Anolis sagrei: one gene and its partner. The protein of the gene in region 1 purifies or fractionates together with the protein of each later gene. This does not show direct contact. Links are inferred from orthologs where the notes say so. Each region holds a gene or a part of one and is shown in the gene's direction. Other genes may lie near its edges.

Evidence for each region.
Region 2: the proteins of CACYBP (region 1) and OTUD5 purify together in Homo sapiens (affinity purification with mass spectrometry; 4 studies listed by BioGRID and IntAct, with this or other methods). This does not show direct contact. The link is inferred for Anolis sagrei from reciprocal best matches to the Homo sapiens genes CACYBP and OTUD5.

Annotation. Positions count from the first base shown.
Region 1 is NC_090024.1:129,682,066-129,689,563, reverse strand, and holds the start of CACYBP (calcyclin-binding protein), read left to right. Parts: upstream 1-4,227; 5' UTR 4,228-4,242; coding exon 4,243-4,539; intron 4,540-7,498. UniProt on the Homo sapiens protein: May be involved in calcium-dependent ubiquitination and subsequent proteasomal degradation of target proteins. Probably serves as a molecular bridge in ubiquitin E3 complexes. Participates in the ubiquitin-mediated degradation of beta-catenin (CTNNB1).
Region 2 is NC_090022.1:178,619,786-178,627,019, reverse strand, and holds the start of OTUD5 (OTU domain-containing protein 5), read left to right. Parts: upstream 1-3,972; 5' UTR 3,973-4,565; coding exon 4,566-5,162; intron 5,163-7,234. UniProt on the Homo sapiens protein: Deubiquitinating enzyme that functions as a negative regulator of the innate immune system. Has peptidase activity towards 'Lys-48'- and 'Lys-63'-linked polyubiquitin chains. Can also cleave 'Lys-11'-linked ubiquitin chains (in vitro).

The DNA of each region.
Region 1 (7,498 bases):
AATGTACATACAGATTAATGCAAAGGCTAGTTTCACCTGAGTCTGGAGCAGGAAGATTTCTTATATTGGATACCTCCAAGAGAAACTTGGCAATGGACAAAGTCACATGGGGAAAATTATCTTCCAGTGAAAACTTGATATAGGAAGGTTGCTCAATAGTGGGTTGATAATATGTTGTAAAACCTGCTTGTAAAACCTGCAGGTTTGACACTTCCTGGTTACTGTATGGGAAAGGTCTTGCACTATATGGATGCTCTTAAGTAGCAAAATCTATTGGGCTGGCCCTGTCTCCATCTGCAATACGTGGATGAATAATAACATCTCAAATATTTTTTATGTATGGATAACAAATAAACCATTTTGAAGTGCTATGCACAATTCTGAATATTAGCTTATATTTAACTAATCAATACTTGCATTTTAACTATCAAAAGGAAAGCAAAACATTCTAAGGGATGTCATTTAAATCCTCGGCTTTCTCATCACAACAGGAAAAATAATTGGACACCTGAAAGTGGAAAAAAGGGTTAAGGATATACAACTAATTTCATGTGGGTCCAGTGTTGAATGGTAGGTTAATATCACTTCCTGTTCCTGAACCTCTGTGCAGTTGTGACCGGGTTCAGAGCTCCAGAACTGTAATTTCCCTTTTAAAATTGTGACTTAAGATTTTTTTCATTTATTTTATAATAAAAACACAATTGCATCGTTACATTGATTATTCCCAACCTTTTGCTCCCCCATCCCACCATCACCATACACATAACAGTGTACAGTTCTCAGTTCTCTTGCTTTTAGTTATAGGCAGTCCCCAAGTTATGAACAAGATAGCTTTAAAAATGAGGGCGAAAGGCGCCCCTGAAGTTTTCCCAATTATAGTAATTTATGCGCAATTACTGTAACCAAATTTCGTTATAGTAACGAATTTTTCCACTAATTGTACTTTAGAAACACTTTAGAAATGAAATGCTAGCACCTCCCAGTTTTGTAATAACTTTTGAAACATTTTTAAATGGATCAGACATCCCTAGTGTTCACCTTTCCCTATAGAATCATACAGTTGAAAAAGATCTCATGGGCCATCCAGTCCAACCCCCTGCCAAGAAGCAGAAAAACTGCATTCAAAGCACCCCCGACAGTTGGCCATCCAGTTGCTGTTTAAAAGCTTCCAAAGAAGGAGCCTCTACAAAACTCCAGGGCAGAGAGTTCCACTGCTGAACGGCTCCCACAGTCAGGACGTTCCTCCTAATGTTCAGATGGAATCTCCTTTCTTGTAGTTTGAAGCCATTGTTCCGCATCCTAGTCTCCAGGGCAGCAGGAAATAATAATAATAATAATAATAATAATAATAATAATAATAATAATCTTTATTTATACCCCGCCACCATCTCCCCTGTGGGGACTCGGAGCGGCTTACATGGGGCCAAGCCCGAACAACATATTACAGCAATAAAATCAAAACATAAACAACAAATAACAACAACATCAAAATTACATTAAAAATGCAGTCATAAAATAACATTCTAATAAACACAATCACGATAACGATAACAATGGGCGGGCCGCATATATATATATATATATATATATATATATATATGTTCTGTACATAATGAGTACCTTAAAAACAAAAGGCCCAATGAACGAAATCACACCAAATTTGACAACAAAATGTCTCACTACACAAGGAGTGCCCATCAATCAAAAATTATGATTTTGTCATTTTGGAGTTGTAGTTGCTGGGATTTATAGTTCACCTATAATCAATGAGCATTCTGAACTCCACCAACAATGGAATTGAACCAAACCTGGTACACAGAACTCCCATGACCAACAGAAAATACCAAAAGGGTTTGGTGGGCATTGACCTTGAATTTTGGAATTGTAGTTCACCTCCATCCAGAGAACACTGTGGACTCCAACAATGATGGATCTGGACCAAACTTGACAGGAATACTCAATATGCCCAAATGTGAACACAGATGGAGTTTGGGGGAAATAGAACTTGACATTTGGGAGTTGTAGTTACTGGGATTTATTGTTCACCTACAATCAAGGGGCATTCTGAACCCCACCAACGACAGAATTGGGGCAAACTTACTGTGTTTTCTGGTGATCTTTGGTGACCTTCTGACACCCCCCTGGTGACCCCCGGGGTCTTGACTTCCCAGATTGAGAAATGCTACCTTAAGGCCATCCAGTCCAACTCCCTTCACCAGGGCAAGAAAACATAATCACAGCCCTCCCGACAAAGGGCCATCCAGCCATTCACACATACACATATATGTATATGACAGATTCAGTATCAAAGATTTGAAAGGGACCCCTAAAGAAGGAGAATGATATGTTGCATGTTCCAGAGTAGGCAAACCAAACAATCTCCACATCAACACTGGCAAAGAAACAGCAAGAAATCCTGTTTACTCACAAGCAGAAAGAAATTACATATATTAGAAACCAACACTTTCCCATTACTTTTTTCCCAGATCACCAGACTGGGCCACAGCAATGCGTGGCAGGGGACCGCTAGTACAGGATAAGAACAATTAAAGGACTGAAATAAAATAAAATAGGAGGAGGACAATTACGGGGGATTCATAAAATACGTAGAATTGTGAGGCTAAACATCCCATTTGGAGGTGCGAGCTCCAGTAGCAAAAACGTTGGGGGATGCAAAATGTCGTGGTGTGCACCTAATCACCAAAGGCGCAGCGGAAGAACCAAGTTTTACGGTTCTTTTTAAACATTTCTAGTGAAGGGGCTTGCTCCCTCCTCCCTATGATTTCCTCTCACATATTTATGCATGGCTATCATGTCTCCTCTCAACCTTCTCTTCTTCAGGCTAAACATGCCCAGCTCTTTAAGCCGCTCCTCATAGGGCTTGTTCTCCAGACCCTTGATCATTTTAGTTGCCCTCCTCTGGACACATTCCAGCTTGTCAATATCTCGCTTCAATTGTGGTGCCCAGAACTGGACAGAATATTCCAGGTGTGGTCTAACCAAGGCAGAATAGAGGGGTAGCATGACTATGCTATCCAAAGCTAATTTATATAAATAAAAATGTAATGTTCGTTTGTGCTATTCACAGAACTCAGAAACCACTCCGGCAATTGACACCAAATTTGGACACTATGTCCCTAACAACCCAATGTATGTTCTCCACTAAAAAAAAACAACGGAAATGAAAAGCAGAAAGGACATCTAAACTGCATGTCCACAAAGGGGAAACTGCATGTCTACAGAGACCCATGGCCACGCCCCCTCCTCTTCCTCATGGGGAAACAGCCTGCCGTTAAAGCCAGGCGCACATGCACAGCCACATGCACACACACACACAAGGGAGTGGAGGAGGTGGAGGCAGTCTCCTCCTTTCCCTGTTGGAAGAGGAAATGGCAGATGAGTGCCAGCAGCAGCAACGAAGCAAGGAAGAAGGGGAGGAGGAGGGGGGAGGCGAGGAAGGTCCACAGTGCTTGAATGAAGGACCTTCCTTCTCTCCCTCCCTTCCCTTCTTTCCTCCCTTCCTTTTTCTTCTTTCCCTCCTTCCCTTCCTTCCTGTTCCTCCTTCCTTTCCTCCCCCCCCTTTCCTTCTTCTTTCCCTTTCTTCATTTCCTTCCCTTCCTCCTTTCTTCATCCCCCTCCTTCCTTCCTTCTCCTCCCTCCCTGTCCCTCCTTGTTTTCCTTCCTTCCCTTCTTTCCCTCCCTCCCTCCCTCCCTTTTTCCTTCCTTCATGTCTCTCCTTCCTTCCTTCTTCCTTTCCTTCTTTCTATGTAAGATATAAATACAATATTAAATGGAAGGGACAATCAAGAAGTAACGAGAGAAGGAGGGAAAGAGGGAAGGAAGGAAGGCGAGAAGTAGGGAGGGAAAGAAGGAAAGAAAGAAAGATAGAGAAAGATGAGAGATAGGGAAAGACAAAGAGGAAAGGAAGGAGGGAAGGGAGGAGAGAAAGAGGGAGGGGAGGTTGGCCACAGCAATGCGTGGCGGGTACTATATATATATTAGGCTGGAATTATACATAAAATGTACCTGTTCCGACTTACAAACAAATTCAACTTAAGAACAAACTGTGTACATTCTGTATGACTTGCAATGGTAAAAGAAAGCTGAGAAGAGAGGCGTCTTTGGGAGGAAAGCGGCCTTGTGGGAGCTTCATGCTCTCTCCACTCCTTCCTCTTGTTCCTCACTTGGGGCCTGCCTATATCTGTATTTAGAGACAACTCTCTTGCAGGCCTACTCTGTGAAATGCTTGGGATACGGAAAACTCAAGGGAAATACCTCAGGAAACAGAAGGGAGAACTATCGACCCCTCCACTGAAACTTTCAGCTTCCCCGGCACAAACCCGGAAATCCGGCAGGCAACAAGCCTCTTGCCAGCCCAGCTTTGGTCGTTTCCGGCCAGAGCGCGCCTTCCCTATTGGCTGGGAGGTCAGGAGGACAGTGACGTCATTGGCAGTGACGGCGCGCGAGGCAAGCTCGAGAGCGGCGCGAGGAGGCTGGCTTTTGCTCCTTTATTCCGCAGCCGCCCTCGAGATGGAGGAGGTGAGCATGCGCCGAGGGGGAGGGAAGGGTCGCTGGGCCTCAGGAAGGGGGAGAGGGTGGGCCTCCAAAGGAGTCTCTGGAGGGCAGTGGGGCGGAGGAGGAAATACAGGGCTCACAGACCCCGAAGCAGGGGTTTCTGGTTGAGGTCTGGCCCCAGTTAGAAGGCACCCCAAAGGCCATCCAGTCCAAACCTCTGCCAGGCAGGAAAAGCACAATCAGAGCAGCCCCAACAGATGGCCATCCAGCCTCTATTTAAAGGCCTCCAGAGAAGGAGATCAATTGATAGAATTATAGAGTTGGAAGAGGCCACGTGGGCCATCTAGTGCAACCCCCTGCCAGGCAGGAAAAACACCATCAAAGCACCCCCGACAGATGGCCATCCAGCCTCTATTTAAAGGCCTCCAGAGAAGGACATTGATAGATAGAATCATAGAGTTGGAAGAGACCATGTGGACCAATCTGTCCAACACCCTGTCAGGCAGGAAAAGCACCATCAAAGCACCCCTGACAGATGGCCATCCAGCTTCTGTTTAAAGGCCTCCAGAGAAGGAGATCAATTGATAGAATTATAGAGTTGGAAGAGATCATGTGGGCTATCTAATCCAACCCCCTGTCAGGCAGGAAAAACACCATCAAAGCAACCCCGACAGATGGCCATCTAACCTCTGTTTAAAGGCTTCCAGAGAAGGAGAGCGATAGAGTTGGAAGAGGCCTTTAGAAAAGGGGATCGATAGATAGAATCTTAGAGTTGGAAGAGGCCACGTGGGCCATCTAGTGCAACCCCCTGCCAGGCAGGAAAAGCACCATCAAAGCACCCCTGACAGATGGCCATCCAGCCTCTGTTTGAAGGCCTCCAGAGAAGGAGATCGATTGATAGAATCTTAGAGTTGGAAGAGGCCATGTGGGCCATCTAGTCCAACGCCCTGCCAGGCAGGAAAAACACCATCAAAGCATCCTGCCAGCCAGGACAAACACCATCAGAGCACCCTGACAGATGGCCATCCAGCCCCTGTTTAAAGGCCTCCAGAGAGCGAGATCGATAGATAGAATCATAGAATTGGAAGAGGCCACATGGGCCATCTAGTCCAACTCCCTGCCAGGCAGGAAAAGAACAATCAAAGCAGCCCCGACAAATGGCCACCCAGCTTCTGTTTAAAAGCCTCCGAAGAATAAGCTTCCGCCACACTCTGAGGCAGAGAGTTCCACTGTTGAACAGCTCTCACAGTCAGGAAGTTCTTCCTAATGTTCAAGTGGAATTTCCTTTCCTGTCATTTGAATATATTGCCCCAAGTGGCACTACCTAAAAGAATCCCACACCTTATGTGGCTGTGGAGCAGAACAGACAACTCCGCACCTTTATGCTTGTCCACTATGCCCTGCCTCATGTACAGAGGAAGACTTGTTAGAGGCCATATTGTTGCCTGTTTTTGGTCAAAAGATATTTAGCCACCTGTGCTCCTTCTATTTTTATTGGTTATATACTAATTTATGCAATGCTTTTGATACGAAATAATAATAACTGGCCCAAGTGAGCAGTGGGGTGCCACAAGGGTCTGTCCTGGGCCCAGTGCTGTTCCACGTATTTACCAATGACTTGGATGACAAAATAGAAGGCATGCTTATCAGATTTGCAGAGGAAAGAAGGCTGAAAGGGGGCATGATAGCTATGTTTATATATTTGTACGGAAGTCAAGTTGAAGACGTGGCAAGCTTCTTTGCATTATCGTAATGCATTATCATTTGGATACATTTGTGTCTCAGCAAGCTTGTTCGGTTTGCTGATCTTTGCTAAGAAGTCATTGCTGATTAAGCAGTCACAAATCTCAGTCTGAACACATATGTCAAGGTCTTGCATTGTCAGCTTAACTACAGTAATGAAATTCTGCAGTGCCACTCCCAGAAAAACCTACCTTGCAGCCTGACCAAAAGATTTCTGTTGTGCTAGATATCTGGGTCCTGAGGAATAGCCTTTGCAGTGTCTGATCGTGTGTCACGTGTCAGAAGCAACTTGAGAATCTGCAAGTCGCGTCTGGTGTGAGAGTATTGGCCGTCTGCAAGGACGTTGCCCAGGGGACGCCCAGATGATTTGATGTTTTATCATCCTTGTGGGAGGCTTCTCTCATGTCCTCGCATGAGGAGCTGGAGCTGACAGAGGGAGCTCATCCACCTCTCCCCGGATTCAAACCTGCGACCTGTCGGTCTTCAGTCCTGCCGGCACATGGGGTTTAACCCATTGCGCCACCGGGGGCTCTGCAGTGTCCGATATTTATTTATCATGTCATCAGCAACCATACCATTGTATTACATTTCTAACAGAACAAAACAAACAGATTTTTTAAAAAAACAAAACACAGATTTTGCCAACTTGGTAGTTGGTTAAATGTCCTTCGACCAGTATCTGGCCACTTGGAGTGCCTCTGGTGTTGCCGCAAGAAGGTCCTCCATTGTGCATGTGGCAGGGCTCATGTTGCATTGCAGCAGGTGGTCAGTGGTTTGTTCTTCTCCGCACTCGCATGTCGTGGATTCCACTTTGTAGCCCCATTTCTTAAGATTGGCTCTGCATCTTGTGGTGCCAGAGTGCAGTCTGTTGAGTGCCTTCCAAGTCGCCCAGTCTTCTGTGTGCCCAGGGGGGAGTCTCTCATCTGGTATCACCCACGGATTGAGGTGCTGGGTTTGGGCCTGCCACTTTTGGACTCTCGCTTGCTGAGGTGTTCCAGCGAGTGTCTCTGTAGATCTAAGAAAACTATGTCTTGATTTAAGTTGTTGACGTGCTGGCTGATACCCAAACAAAGGGTGAGCTGAAGATGTCTCTGCCTTGGTCCTTTCGCTATTGGCTGCTACTTCCCGGCAGATGTCAGGTGGTGCAATACCGGCTAGACAGTGTAATTTCTCCTGCAGTGTCCGATGACAACTAGTTATTGCCTTGTGCCAAACTGGTGGGAGTGAGCTGGAGCAGTCA
Region 2 (7,234 bases), on another chromosome or scaffold:
GGGTTCCCAGGTGTTTTGGCCTACAACTCCCAGAAATCCCAGCCAATTTACCAGCTGTTAGGATTTTTGGGAGTTGAAGGCCAAAAACATCTGGGGACCCACAGGTTGAGAACCACTGATGTAGAATAATCACAGGATGTCTCAAATCTACACCTGTTGAAAGACTTTATAAGCTAGCTGGCATTGCCCCCCACCCCCAAAGCCCCAGAATGGAAGTTGCTGCCAATTGCAAAAGAAATAACAAAATATGGTTATCAGCCTTTTCCCAGTAGGGTCAAATCAAGTGCCACAACATCCCACTTAAAGGCTATGCAAATCCATAAAGAGGACACTACAGCTTTTCAAAAGTCGAAAGACTTTGTTATCTGGTGGAAATTTAGATCATCCCAGGCCTAGCCTAAGACAGTTTGCTGCTTGGGACAGACACAACAGCAAATGTCTTCTCCTCAAGGCCAAGGAAAAGTTTCACAAGAAACACCACTCCTCTAAATGTTTCCCCAGCAACAGCAAGAGTATCCTTGTGGGCAGCCAAACCAGGAAATCCCAGGATCTTCGTCCAAGGGCAAAATAAGAACAGGCAACTTGGAAGTCCCTGGACAGACTCAGAAGTGGCGTGGACAGATCAAAAGATAACCTGGCAAAATGGAACTACAGTATTCCCTCGCTACTTTGCGGTTCGCTTTTAGCAGACTCGCTGTTTTGTGGGTTTTTGAAAATATTAATATTAAATATTAACTTCCAGTGGAGGCCAGGGACCCCTGAAGTGCGTTGGCCTGAGGCACAGCGGGAAAGGCCTGCCTCCCTGGCCTGCTGCTGCCTGCATGGCTCTGGTGGCTCTGCAGAGACCGGGGAGGCAGGTAGGTGCACTTGGTCAATGTAACTGGCTCCTTTGGGATAGATTGAAACAAAGAATCATGACGTGGAGGAAAAAGGAAGGCCCAGAAACAGATTTTGATCAAATGTTAAAGTGGAAACTAGAAAAGGAGAAAAGCCTGATGGGGTTCATATACAAGAGATTAGTTGGAATTCGATATAATTTGAAACAAGAAATAGAAATATGGAAAGAGGATTTAAATAACAATGATTCAGACATTGAACACTGGATCAATTCATCTATATTCCTTCACTCAGCCCTCCCTATGGTCTCACATCCATAGGTGACTATGGGGAATGCCATTGCTTTAACTATGCGGATCTTGGTTGCCAGTGTGATGTCTCTACTCTTCACTATTTTATCAAGATTGGCCATTGCTCTCCTCACAAGAAGTAAGCGTCTCCTGATTTCCTGGCTGCAGTCTGCATCTGCAGTAATCTTTGCACCTAGAAATACAAAGTCTGCCACTGCCTCCACGTTTTCTCCCTCTATTTTCCAGTTGTCAATCATTCTCGTTGCCATAATCTTGATTTTTTTGATGTTTAACTGCAACTCAGCTTTTATGCTTTCTTCTTTCACCTTGATTAGAAGGTTCCTCAGCGCCTCCTTGCTTTTGGCCATCAAAGTGGTATCATCTGCATATATAAGGTTAATGTTTCTTCCAGCAATTTTCACCCCAGCCTTGCATTCGTCAAGCCCCGCACATTGCATGATGTGTTCTGCATACAAGTTGAATAGGTTGGGGGTTTTTTTGTCGTGTCAGGAACGACCTGAGAAACTGCAAGTCGCTTCTGGTGTGAGAGAATTGGCTGTCTGCAAGGACGTTGCCCAGGGGACGCCTGGATGATTTGATGTTTTTATCATCCTTTTGGGAGGCTTCTCTCATGTCCCCGCATGAGGGGCTGGAGCTGATAGAGGGAGCTCATCCGCCTCTCCCTCTTCGCCTCTTCGAACCGCCTCTTCGAACCTGCGACCTGTTGGTCTTTAGTCCTGCCGGCACAGGGGTTTAACCCACTTCGCCACCGGGGGCTCCACATCAATTTGTAATAATTTTCTTTAACATGTATCGATAAATTCTTTAAATATCTTTGATCCCATAATTGTACCCAATCCACTTCGTTTATTCTAATCCCTAGGTCTTCCTCCCATATCTCTCTTAATGTTGCATCCTTTATTTTTTCCCCCCCTTAATATCAATTATTATCTTATACAATTTGCTGGTTATTCCTTTCAACTTGTGGTATCTTCCCGTAGCTCTTCCGTTTTGTATCATTTGTTCAACTTGCGTGAATTTGCCACCTTCCCCATTATTTTTTATCCAATTCTTGAACCATTGCTCTAACTGTAAGCAATGGAACCATGAGAGTTTAATATCTCTAAATTCTCTCAATATAGTTTCTTTCCTCATGTTTATTTGTCAGATTTATTTGTCGTGTCAGGGCAACCAGTCAATTATATTACATTTCTAACAGAACAAAGCAAACAAACAGACAAAATACAAAATTTGTGAGTTTGGTAGTTGATTAAATGTCCTTTGACCAGTATCTGACCACTTGGAGTGCTTCCGGTGTTGCTGCAAGAAGGTCCTCCATTGTGCATGTGGCAGGGCTCAGGTTGCATTGCAGCAGGTGGTCAGTGGTTTGCTCCTCTCCACACTCGCATGTCGAGGATTCCACTTTGTAGCCCCATCTCTGAAGGTTGGCTCTGCATCTTGTGGTGCCAGAGCGCATTCTGTTCAGCGCCTTCCAAGTCGCCTAGTCCTCTGTGTGCCCAGAGGGGAGTCTCTCATTTGGTATCAGCCATTGGTTGAATCAGCCAATAGTGAAAGGACCAAGGCAGAGACATCTCCAGCTCATCCCCTGTTTGGGTATCAGCCAGCACGTCAATGACTTAAATCAAGACATAGTTTTCTTAGATCTACAGAGACACTCGCTGGAACACCCCAGAATGCGAGAGTCCAAAAGTGGCAGGCCCAAACCCAGCACCTCAATTCATGGGTGATACCAGATGAGAGACTCCCCCCTGGGCACTCAGAAGACTGGGCGACTTGGAAGGCGCTGAACAGACTGCGCTCTGGCACCATGAGATGCAGAGCCAATCTTAAGAAATGGGGCTACAGGGTGGAATCCTCAGCATGCAAGTGTGGAGAAGAGCAAACCACTGACCACCTGCTGCAATGCACCCTGAGCCCTGCCACATGCACAATGGAGGACCTTCTTGCAGCAACACCGGAAGCACTCCAAGTGGCCAGATACTGGTCAAAGGACATTTAATCAACTACCAAATTTGCAAAATCTGTGTTTTTTTCCCCCCTTTTTCTTTTTAATCTGTGTGTTTGTTTTGCTCTGTTAGAATTGTAATACAATGGTTGCCGATGACACGATAAAAAAAAAGCCATTGGTTGAGGTTCTGGGTTTGAGCCTGCCACTTTTGGACTCTTGCTTGCTGAGGTGTTCCAGCGAGTGTCTCTGTAGATCTTAGAAAACTATTTCTAGATATAACATATTAGATAAAAAATATTACATATAACATATTAGCTAAAAAATTAAGAGAGAAGAATATAGATTTTTAAAAGCGGCCTTTTCCTTAATTGGGAGAGGGGGGAAAGGAAAGAGGCTGAGACTGTGAGGAATTGTGGGAATTGGAGTCCAAAACACCTGAAGGCCCCAAATTTGCCCAAGAATCCTTGTGGAGCAGAACAAATCACTCCGCATCTGAATGCTTGCCCTCAAACCAGAGGGAGGCTGTACAGAAGGGAGCCCGAAGAACCTGCCTCTCAGCCTATCAACGCCAGGGATTGCTTTCACCCAATCGGAAACAGCCCTCCGCTATTAGCCAATCATAAACCAGAGAAGCGTCTCTCCTCGAATCCACTTCCCAGGCCCCTTTCGGCATGCTAATCCGCCGCTTGCCTTCAATGGCATCGGGTGGCAGGAGGGAATGTAGAAAAGAGGCGGGGCCTCGCCTGAGTGACAAGCGCCGCTGGCCACTCGGCGAGGGGCTTCCGTCTCCGCTCAGCCACTGAGCGTGGAGTCACGTGCAGCAGCCTTTGAGAGCGGCGCCGTTGCCAGGGCCCTCCCCCGTCGCTAAGGAGGAAGGGGGGCGTGGAAACGGAAGTGGAGTTCGCCGGGGTCAGAGGCCGGCTGTGTTGATGTTGACACTAGGCCGGAGCTGTGGAGTAGTAGGCGCCGCCGCCGCCGGGACGCCGCGCAAGGCCCGAAAAGCTGTCGTGAGGGAAGAACGAGGCGGCGGCGGTGGCGGCGAGAGTTGGCGGAAGCAAGTCCGGCAGGGACAGCGGCGCCTCTTGGGGGCTGACGGGGCCCGCTTCCTCTTTTGACCCGCCTGGCGGGGGGCGCGATGCGGTTGTGATTGGGCCTGCCATCCGGGCATTCCTTCCCTTCCTCAAAGAAGTGGTTCCTCAGCGGGCCCTCCATCCGGGTCCCGGGCCTCTCCATCCGGGTCCCCGCTCTCCATCCCAGCGGAGGGGAGAGGGCCTCTTTCGCCCCTCTCCTCCGGAATCCCCAAACTCCCTTCCATACGGGTACTTCCTTCCTTCCTTCCTTCCTCACCCCCTCCTCCTGCATCCCCAGTGCCTTTGGGTTAACTGTCACTGCTTAGCCTCTCCATCCGGGGACTTGTGCCCCTCACGCGCGGCTCGGGACTCCTCTGCTTGCCCCCTCCCTCGGTTGCCATGACGATCCTGCCCAAGAAGAAGGCCTGCCCGGCCGCCGGCGACGGAGACAGGGACCAGCCGGGCTCCCGAGGGGGCGGCCAGGGCGGTCCTGGGGGACCCGGCGGCGTCGGGGGCCCGGACCCGCGGGGCTGCTCCGGCGCGGACTCCCACCCTCGAGGCCCCAGCGGCGTAGGCGTCGGCGGCGGAGGCGTCGGCGGGCCCGGGGAGCGCGGCGGAGCTAGGCCGCGAGCCTCGCCGCCACCCCCGCCGCCTCGTTGGGGGCTGCCCCCCGCCGCTGGCTCGCCGCCGCCGCCCAACCCCGGCGTGGGGCCCTGTGGTGGAGGCGGCGGGGACGGCTCGGGCCTGTTGGATCCCGGCGTGGCCGAGTCGCGAGGCGGTGGAGGCGGGGGCTGCTGCTCGGGGCCTGGACACAGCAAGAGGCGGCGGCGCGGCGGGCCCGCAGGAGGCCTTGGGGGACCCTCGGGGCCTGGAGGAGGCGGCGGCGGAGGCAACAGCCCCGAGCAGGACGAGGCCGGCGCTGGCTACAACAGCGAGGACGAGTACGAAACGGCCGCCGCTCGCATCGAAAGCATGGACCCGGCCACCGTGGAGCAGGTACCGCCTCAGGAGATGGGGCTCAGTGCCTGCAAAGAGAAGGAGTGGGGCCTTGCGCCCTCCCTGCCCTGTCAAATGAGATTAGTGGCCCCACCAGGCTAAGGGCCCTTCCACACTGCCATATCAAATCCACATTGAACTATTTATTTATTTATTTTCGCTCACTTCTACCCCACCTTTCTCAGCCCCCTAGGGGGGACTCATTGTGGCTTACAACCGGCACAATTCGATGCCAACAATTCAACAGATAAAATACATAGCAACAATAACCACAATAGTTAAAACATTCAATTAATACAATAACAATTATATATTTATCTTACACAGTGGTTCTCAACCTTCCCAATGCCGCGACCCCTTAATTCCTCATGTTGTGGTGACCCCCAGTCATAACCCTAACATTATGAATTGCCATGTAAATAATGATCTGCAGGATGTACTTTCATTCACAGGAGCAAATTTGGCACAAATACCTGGTATGCCCAAATTTGAACCCTGGTGGGGTTGGCGGGGGGATTGATTTTGTCATTTGGGAGATGTAGTTGCTGGGATTTACAGTTAACCTGCGAACAAAGAGCATTCTGAACCTCACCAACAATGGAATTGAACCAAAGTTGGCACACAGAACTCCCATGACAAACAGAAAATACTGGAAGTGTTTGGTGGCCATTGACCTTGAGTTTGGGAGTTGTAGTTCGCCTACATGTAGAGAGCACTGTGGGCTCAAACAGTGATGGATCTGGACCAGACTTGGCACAGATACTCAATATGCCCAAATGTGAAAACTGATGGGGTTTGGGGAAAATAGACTTTGAAATTTGGGAGCTGTGCTTGCTGGGATTTATAATTGACCTACAATCAAGGAGTGTTCTGAACCCCACCAATGATAGAATTGGGCCAAAGTTCTCACACAGAACCCCCATGACTAACAGAAAATACTGTGTTTTTTGATGGTCTTTGGCGACCCCTCTGACACACCTTCGCGATCCCCAGGTTGAGAAACACTGATCTTACATGTAATATTACTAATAATATTACAGTATAATTGATATAGTGCAATATAGCAATATTTAAAACTTATATTGTACTATGTTAATAATATACTGTATGTATATATACCTTGTAAGCCGCTCTGAGTCCCCTTCGGGGTGAGAAGGGCAGCATATAAATGTCGTAAATAAAATAAATAAATAAACAACTAAAAAGCCAATCTAGTGGCCAACGTATCCGTAAGTCCATTCAGCATTACCATAGTCCTTTCCAAATTCTGGTCGTCATTACCTTGTCAGTCTGCCAGATTACCCAAAGGCCTGGTCCCATATCCATGTTTTCAGCTTCCTTCTAAAGGAGAGGAGGGATGTTCATGACCTAATTTCGCCAGGGAGTGAGTTCCACAGGCGAGGGGCCACCACTGAGAAGGCCCTGTCCCTCGTCCCTACCAGCCTCACTTGTGATAGAGGCGAGGCCGAGAGTAGGGCCTCCCCCAAAGATCTTAGACTCCGAGGTGGGACATAGAAGGAGATATGTTTGGACAGGTAAACTGGGCCGGAGCCCTCTAGGGGGATTATATGGCAGTGTGGACTCATAATCCCTGATCAGAGCAGATTTTGTGGGACTTTCTGCTTTAATATTCCGGGTTATATGTCTGTGTGGAAGGACCCTCAGACCCCTTCCACGCTGCCATATAAAATCCACGTTGAACTAGATTATATGGCGGTGTGCACTCATAATCCTGTTCAGAGCGGATTTTGTGGGATTTTCTGCTTTAACCCCTTCCACATTGCCACATAAAATCCACATAATAATAATAATAATAATAATAATAATAATAATGCTTTATTTATACCCCGCTCCATCTCCCCCAGGGAGCCTCGGGGCGGCTTACATGAGGCTTACATTGAACTGGATTATATGACAGTGTGCACTCATAATCCTGTTCAGAGCAGATTTTGTGGGATTTTCTGTGTGGAAGGGCCCTCAGACCCTTTCCACACTGCCATATAAAATCCACATTGAACTGGATTATATGGCAGTGTGTGCACTCAGATCATCCAGTTCAAAGCAGATATTGT